Linked DNA regions of Drosophila melanogaster. Changing the gene in region 1 together with any one later gene gives a genetic interaction. Each region holds a gene or a part of one and is shown in the gene's direction. Other genes may lie near its edges.

Evidence for each region.
Region 2: of tra (region 1) and fru, changing one suppresses a phenotype caused by changing the other (phenotypic suppression), as found in Drosophila melanogaster (one study listed by BioGRID).

What each region holds. Positions count from the first base shown.
Region 1 is NT_037436.4:16,589,559-16,592,674, reverse strand, and holds tra (transformer), read left to right. Parts: upstream 1-1,624; 5' UTR 1,625-1,631; coding exon 1,632-1,671; intron 1,672-1,744; coding exon of another isoform or gene 1,745-1,815; exon of another isoform or gene 1,816-1,919; coding exon 1,920-2,323; intron 2,324-2,380; coding exon 2,381-2,530; 3' UTR 2,531-2,616; downstream 2,617-3,116. Other genes in the region: spd-2 (spindle defective 2), read left to right, coding at 1-1,271; l(3)73Ah (lethal (3) 73Ah), read right to left, coding at 2,901-3,026. UniProt on the Drosophila melanogaster protein: Member of the regulatory pathway controlling female somatic sexual differentiation, regulated by Sxl. Activates dsx female-specific splicing by promoting the formation of a splicing enhancer complex which consists of tra, tra2 and sr proteins.
Region 2 is NT_033777.3:18,542,555-18,547,328, reverse strand, and holds the start of fru (fruitless), read left to right. Parts: upstream 1-1,742; 5' UTR 1,743-2,216; intron 2,217-4,774. UniProt on the Drosophila melanogaster protein: Probably acts as a transcriptional regulator.

The sequences.
Region 1 (3,116 bases):
TTAAGAACACAGCGGACAAACGGCTGGTCATTCGGCTTGGCATCCAGGGACCCGGATTCCAGCTGGTGGGCACCGACAGCAGCACGATCACACTCCAAGCCATGGAATGCCGCTCGGTAGTGATCAACTTTTGCCCCACTGTCTGTGGAGCGGCCATCGGAGCCTTGTCTTTCTATGCACCACCAGGAGCGCATAACAGCAACCAGCCGGGCCTAGAGATTCCGTTGTACGGCTACGGGGGCAGTGCGTCCATCACCATAAACGGTCTGCTAAAGGGACCGGTGGGCGCCAGTTTCCTTACCATCGGCGATGTATGCGAGCTGTCCGCTGGTCCGCTTTCGGCGAATCTCAAGTTTCACAACAAGGGCCCTCTCACCGCTTTCGTTGGTATATCAGTGGACTCCACCGTGCTCATGAAACTGCGCCTCAGCGAGGCCTTCGAGGTACGTCCGAGCCGCTTGATATTGCCGCCAAATAGCGAGCGCTGCGTGCAGATACTTTTCCGACCGAATCGTGAGGACTTGAAGAACATACTTAAGAAGACCGCACAGGTGTTGACCCTGGCCAATATGCGGATTTTCTGCGGAGACGAGCCCAACAGACAGCGTATGCGTAGCTTGGTCCAAAGGATGAGCAGCCGACAGCGAGAGAAACTCACATCGCCGATGCTGGACAGCATTTGGGGCGAATTTCCGGACGAGCAGCCAGTGCGCAACATCGGTCAGCTGAACGAACCGCCAGAGTTTATTCTGGACTTGGTCACAGTAGTGCGGATTATTGATGTTGCGCTTACCCTCAATCGGGACTTTGATGAATCGTCTGAGAGTTCCCTGATGTTCCTGCCGGAGGCCGACGAAACCGTGCTATTCCGCACCATATGTGTGGCCAATTCGCCGACGCCAACGCAGAGCCATCTATTGGAGCCAGTGGATGAGCTATTGGAGGCGGACACCACAACGTTGACGCCCGTCGAGCAAAACTGGTGTGTGCAGCCAGGTTTGCTGGAATTCGGAGTGGGCTGTTCGCCACTGGCCACTTTGTCCGTAACCAACAGCTTCTGCTCCAGGCAGCTCATCGAGGTCACATGCAATGTGCCCGATTTGGTGCGAATCAGTCCCAGTGAGTGCTACGTATCCCCGGATGGCGGCCACGCGGAGATCGATGTGCGCCTGCTCCGCTCACCCAGGCAGGATTTGCTCGAAAGGGAGCCGCTCATTGTGGTCTCCATGGAAAACGAGCGCATCAGTGTCCCGATTAGTTTTAAATTTTAAAATTTGTTTTATTTGTGCCTGCTAATTCTGCTTTCCCTATGTTTGTGTAGTTAGTTTAAACAAAAATTGTATTGTGTACTTGTGAAATGAAACCGTGTTTGCAGAGTATTTGTAAGGAAAACGCATAACCCTAAAGTTAAAATACTCGCTTGTTTCCTAAAAGTTGAATTTAGCTTAAATAAAAACTAATAAAGTATATGAGTTAATTTTAAATTTTGATATGTTGCTCTCGAATATTCAAAAAGTAACGTATATGTAGCGATAGTTCGTCGAAAAGTGAGTTGGCGGGCACATTGCAAGGTGCAAGCCGAGTACGGTCACACTGAGGAAAGTGCATCATTTAATTTCCAGCATTTTCCGATGAAAATGGATGCCGACAGCAGTGGAACCCAGCATCGAGGTACCCACTATATAGTATAACCGATCTGATCAGATTCTGATCCAGTGCCATCTTTTTGTTGTTTTTTTTCTAGTGTCATATTGTGTGAAATGTGAAATGGATGAGAATGAACGCTGGACGACCAGACAGAGAAAGAGAAGCTAGGACAATAGGACTCTCAACTGCGCATTACGTGGATTCCGTCTCCGACGATGCGCCAAACACTATGCGTTAGATGCATTGACTAACCGCACACTCTTTTCACATAGATTCCCGTGGCTCAAGGTCTCGATCCCGGCGAGAAAGAGAATACCATGGGCGATCAAGCGAGAGGGACAGCAGAAAGAAGGAGCACAAGATTCCGTACTTTGCAGACGAGGTTCGAGAACAGGATCGGTTGAGAAGATTGCGCCAAAGAGCGCACCAATCCACCAGACGCACTCGCTCCAGATCCAGATCACAGTCGTCCATCAGAGAGAGCAGGCACAGAAGGCATCGCCAGCGCTCTAGGAGCCGCAATCGCAACCGAAGTCGCAGCAGTGAACGAAAACGCCGTCAACATAGCCGAAGTCGCAGCAGTGAACGAAGACGCCGTCAACGGAGCCCGCATCGGTATAATCCTCCGCCAAAGATCATCAACTACTATGTGCAAGTGCCACCACAGGATTTCTACGTTAGTAGTTATTTGTATTGAAACAAATAACAAATCTAACTTAAATCGATTTTGCAGGGGATGTCTGGTATGCAGCAAAGTTTTGGATACCAAAGGCTACCACGTCCTCCGCCGTTTCCACCGGCCCCCTACAGATACCGCCAGCGACCGCCGTTCATTGGAGTTCCGCGATTTGGCTACAGAAACGCGGGGCGTCCCCCATATTGAACATACTCCATTCGACATAATTACAAATTTATTTACATTCGTGTGTTTTGTACATTAAAATAATAAATACATATATATTTCAAACTAAAAATGGAGAACATAAAATATTGCAAACGGAGAACGTTGATTAAATCATGAGCAAATGCAGCAAAGAAGGCGGCAAAAAAAGGGTCACACGAGTTAGGAAGTGGAAGTTACTTAATTCTAGGAGGGATAACCATATATTTACGACTTTATACATGCACATTTACACATACACTCATGGTTTCGAGGGGACTAACACTAGCGACTCTCCTAATTACGATATTTACGCATTGTCAATAAATTATAAAAATAGATCATTTGTTGTGGCATTATACTAAAACAGTGGTTAGAGCTCGACCCGCGGACGAAACTGCAGCCGAAGCGGCGGATCCCGGAAGCGCCAGCGCGTCACGTAGACGAACTTCAGCGTGTGATCCTTGCCGAGCAGCTCCTCGTTGCACAGTATGTCGATCTGAAAGATAAGATACGTAGTTATCATATAAGTATGTGCCATGTATACAAGTAACTAAGCCAGTCTGAGCTTTCACTGAGAGCAGTTACT
Region 2 (4,774 bases), on another chromosome or scaffold:
TAGGGCCAGCACTATATTCCAATTCGCGTAGGTGGAGCACCGACTTATGTAATACTCGATTTTTTGCTGCTCGTGCTATATTTGTTTTTGTTTATTTTCGTTTATTGTTGTTGTTGCGATGGGCTGGGGAAATGCGCAAAAGAGACGGATAGTTGCAACATGTTCGATTGCAGGGCGTTGGAAAAAAGTTAACTGCTGTAAACAGCGCAGGCCTTACAGAGAGAGAAAATGGGGGCAACTCGAAATGAGAGCGAGCGCGAGTCCTGGCGAGAGGAGACTTCGGCAAATGCCGGCCACGTGACATTGTTGCACTTCCTGGCCGCGCGCTTGTGTGTGTGTGTGTGTGTGTGTGTGTGGGCGCTTGATAAGCTTGCAACGAAGCTATTAATCAAAACAGAATCAAAAAATCCGCTTCGCTGTGTGCGTGCGAGAGAGAAACACGTGCCGGCCCAGTTAACAGAGGTCCTTTAGCAGCGCTCTGCTAACAACGCCGGTTGGCAACAGCAAACGTTGGTTGGCTTGGTTGGTGGAAAACTTTCCACTCGGCCTCTCTAATAATAGATTTTATCATTGCCGAGTAAACCGAGTCGGTGTATTTACTTCGTGTAATTAATGCCTGGCTGCTTTGCGATTTTAAGGTGGTTTAATCGGACGATTAGGTGGCTAGACGCTGGTATCAATTGGCCATTTCGCAATTTGCATTTTGTGGTAATCCATTTTCATATTGGTTGTCATTCCCGTAGGGGCAATGAGGCCGTATCGTGCCCCCTTCTAGCGGCGTATTAAGTCGATTGCAAGAGTCTCAAATGTATTCCGGCTTTAGTGCTCAGCTTGTTTGTCCAACACTTGGCACGCACACGCAGCTCCGCAGGTACAGTGTACACCCTGTAATCGGGATCGTAGCGAAAGCATATATTTAATACATTTTTGATAAATTGTTTGTTAGTTTTCCCTACTCATCAATTATTAACGTTAAGTTGCCTACTTATGTTTGCTATTCGTATTGAAATCATATTATATTCAATTAATATTTACTTAAAGTAAACATTGCCTTTTTAAAAATATATATATTTTCGTTTTCTAAAGCTAGTTAATTGAGTACCCACTGTATGTGGCAGTGTCCTTGTACTTTTACATAATAAATCAAACCCCACCGAAAGGAACGGAAATGAAAGTAAGGCAAGGAAGAGGAAGGAAACGAAAAGAAATGCCACTGCGGAAAGCCAAGAAAAGAAAAGTGCATTTGCACGCTAACAGGAGCTGTTACCATTTCACTGATAAGAGCCGGCAAGCGCGAACAGCTGTTCGAGAAAATCCTCGGAGAGAAAGCAGCCAAGGATATCGAGAGCATTTCTCTTCGCTGTAAACGGGCACTGTAAAGGCGGCCAGTTGTTGACTGGGAACTAAGCCAATTGCACAATGTGGGCCGAAGTTGATGTCGTGTTGCTGCTGTTGCTGCTGCTGCTGCTGCTGCTGTGTGTGTTGCAACACGAGCAACTACAAGTGCAACTACACAACCCTTCGACTGCAAGGACTTCGGCAGCAACGAGCATGTATATGTATTCCACCGAACCCACCATGTACTGCGTTTATGTGTTGCTGCTGCTTTTGCCTTTGACGCTGCTGCTGTCGCCGTGCTGCGCCTGCTGCTGCTGCGTTTCGTTGGTGCTGCGACAGCAGAGTCGTTGCAACAATCGCAGCTTGCACATCCAGCAGCAGTCAGTTGGACGCGGCGGCTCCTTCAGCAAGGACGCACAGCTCACACAATCCCTTCGAAGGAAATCAGCAGCCGACATACCGAACGACCTGCCACAACATTCCAATTCAAATCCAATCCAATCCAGACTTTGAAGTCCTGTAAAGCGTTTTACATTCCGCTTACATAAATGCTAGAGCGCTGTAAAAATCGGCGCTAGAAACGCCAATTAGCCAAACATGTTAGCCATGTTTTAGTCGGTCCTTTCGCGCTTGACTTGTTTTGCAACTGTGTGCGTACGTTTGAGTGTGCGAGTGCCGCCCGATTTTGTTTGTCCTTTTTTTTTCTGTTGGTGTCTCACCGAGTGCCGTTTTAAGCCAAGATACTACAGACATACTAGCGACTAGCTAATACATATTAACTTGTTGTGCCAGCGTTTTGTGTGTGCCAGTCAGCCTCTGCTGAGTGCATTTTCATTAAAGTCAACAAGTTGCAGCCGCATAAGGTCAAATAAAAGCAGGTGAGTCTGTGTTCCCGGCCAACAAGAGCCAGGTATTCCTATGTAAAGTTACTTAAAGTGCAGGTGATATGCTCTTCTGAGAGCAGATTTTATGTTGTTCAAATTGTATTAAGTGGTTTTGTGGAATACGTTAAGGGCACAGGTACAAAACCAATATTAAAAAAAAAACATTTGTTTGCTCATTTTCTTTGTATAAATATTTATTTTAACTAAGTCTTTTGAAAATTTTATAATGTGGGTTCTAAAAATATTTAAAGTGCATTCTCACTATGTGCTATCTATTATGAAGTACGTGTTTATCAATTAGGTTTTATATTTAAAAATGTTAGATAGGTTCGAAAACGTTGGGGTTTCCAAGTTTTAATATAAAATAAATATATTAAAATATTTGAGTGAGTATCCAAGCAGTTAATATCTATGGTACTGCAAGAAAATTCACTACGTTAACACATTTAAAAAATATTCATCCATTCACATCAGTACAGATGTATAAAATAATTAATAACAGGTCAGACAAATATATGGTCCTTATTTACCTTTAATAATTACAAAGAATTTTTAGAAAATTAAATCATAGAATCTACTGACAGAATTAAGATATACCTAAATTAAATTACAATAAATTATTTTTCTAAACCACATTGAGGTGTTTTGCAAGAATACTATACTGCTAAGAAACATTCGGTTCAGTTATAACAACAAAATCTTCGAAAACTTTTAACTAGCAAATTAAATTACAACAAAACCTAAAGTTGGCTGAGCACAATTCAAATTTCAGTTTCTTATATTTTATTAGCAAATATCAGTTTACTTCATCTGCATTTGATTCAGTTTATTCAGAAGTTCAGCAGACCAAGGCCAATTGCAAACTGGCTAATCCGTGTTACCAATTTATATTCAATAATATATTTGAGTACTCTTACATCTCCCCCGGCCAACATAAATTTGGTTTTTAAAGGCACCCAAAAATATTTTGACAAATTATGAGGTAGGAATGTGTAGTAAATATTTCCAGAGATTAAATGACAAGTCTAAAGGGAAAATATATCTACGCTCTTAATGATCCTTTGTAATAACTACAAATCTGTGGGCCGGGTGCATCCTGGCCGTGTCCTGGCCATGTCCTCAATTTCGTTGAGTTACAAAAGGTTTAAGTAAGTAAGCAAAACGGTAGGAATCGAGTAATCGCTCTCAGGGGCATAGTTTAATATTGGATTTGTAATGGAAATCAATATTGCCCGAGGAAAATTTATGCAGAGGCCAACAAAGAAAGCAAACCATTCAAATTGAACCGGGCCAATAAAATTGCAGTGCGAAGTTTGCGTCCGAGTTTGATTTGAGTTGTGCTGAATCGTCAGCCTTGGCATTGCCAATTTCATTAGGGGCCATAAAGGGAAAGAGTCCGCTTGTAATTGCAATTAGTTTTATCGTAACTTGCAGTTAAATAATCAAAACATTTTCCCAAGCTTCCGTCCCCATCGTCCGTCCACCGAAAACTCTTTGTAATGCAAAACTTTTTAATCCGACGCCTTGGTTTGTTTACACGAACTGCCAGCGCCCCGCCCACAGCGCCCCCGATCCCTATCCACACTCCAGACAATAACAACAACGTTGACAATAAAAACAGGATTGACAGGATACACCCCAGGAAGTCGATACGCTTAATACCCTTGCACGAAAAGTGCCTAAAAATAGATGGGAATCTATTTCGGTAGAAATTAGGATGATTTAAGAAAGTTACTCTTATTATATGAGTTAAAATAAAGTAAAAAGCAGACCATATCAACTTTAAATTAAAAAATGTGAACTCAAACGATGCAAGAGTATATAATATTTCAGTTAATCTTATTATGAAACAGAAAATCAAGTTAGAGCTTGTAAACTAAATGGATTAGGAAAAAATCGGGAGTATATATATTAATTTTTATAATGATTTGGCAAAATTATATTTTAAATTTCATTAGATAAATAGATACATCTCAAAGGATTTCCTTCGTAGAAAAAAATTGCTTGAAGGAAATGCTGAATAAACTCTTTAAATATTTTTAAAGTCGCATTTGTTTAATACAACTCCTATACAGTTGAGCATATTCTGAATAGCACTTACAAAAAAGTGCTTACCAAAGTTACTAGTTTTACTTCATAAAACAGTACTAGTGCGGCTGCATTTTCCTGAGAGGCTTGTAAAGTTCTTGTTGCAGCAGTGCGACTCCCTTTCAGGGTATGAAAATAAGAAAAATTTGCATATTTACACAAGACAATTTACACACTCTCCCAGTCGGCTGACTGAGTGACTGAGTGAAGGGCCCCTGCGAGGCAGGGACGCAGTTTTCCAGCGGGGCGCGGGAATGCGAGATTGAGTGGGTGGATTGAGGTTATTTTGTAAATTGTGTGTAAGCCGAACTGCTGCGACTGCAGCCTGATGAACAGCCAGTGCCAGAACCGTTACAAAAGTCCAACAAGTTGGGAGGTGGGAAAAGTCGGGGGAAGCACGGGAAAATATGGGTAAAATATGGGTGGAAGTAAAAGGGGGGGGGGTGGCTTGGGGCCAAAGGGCG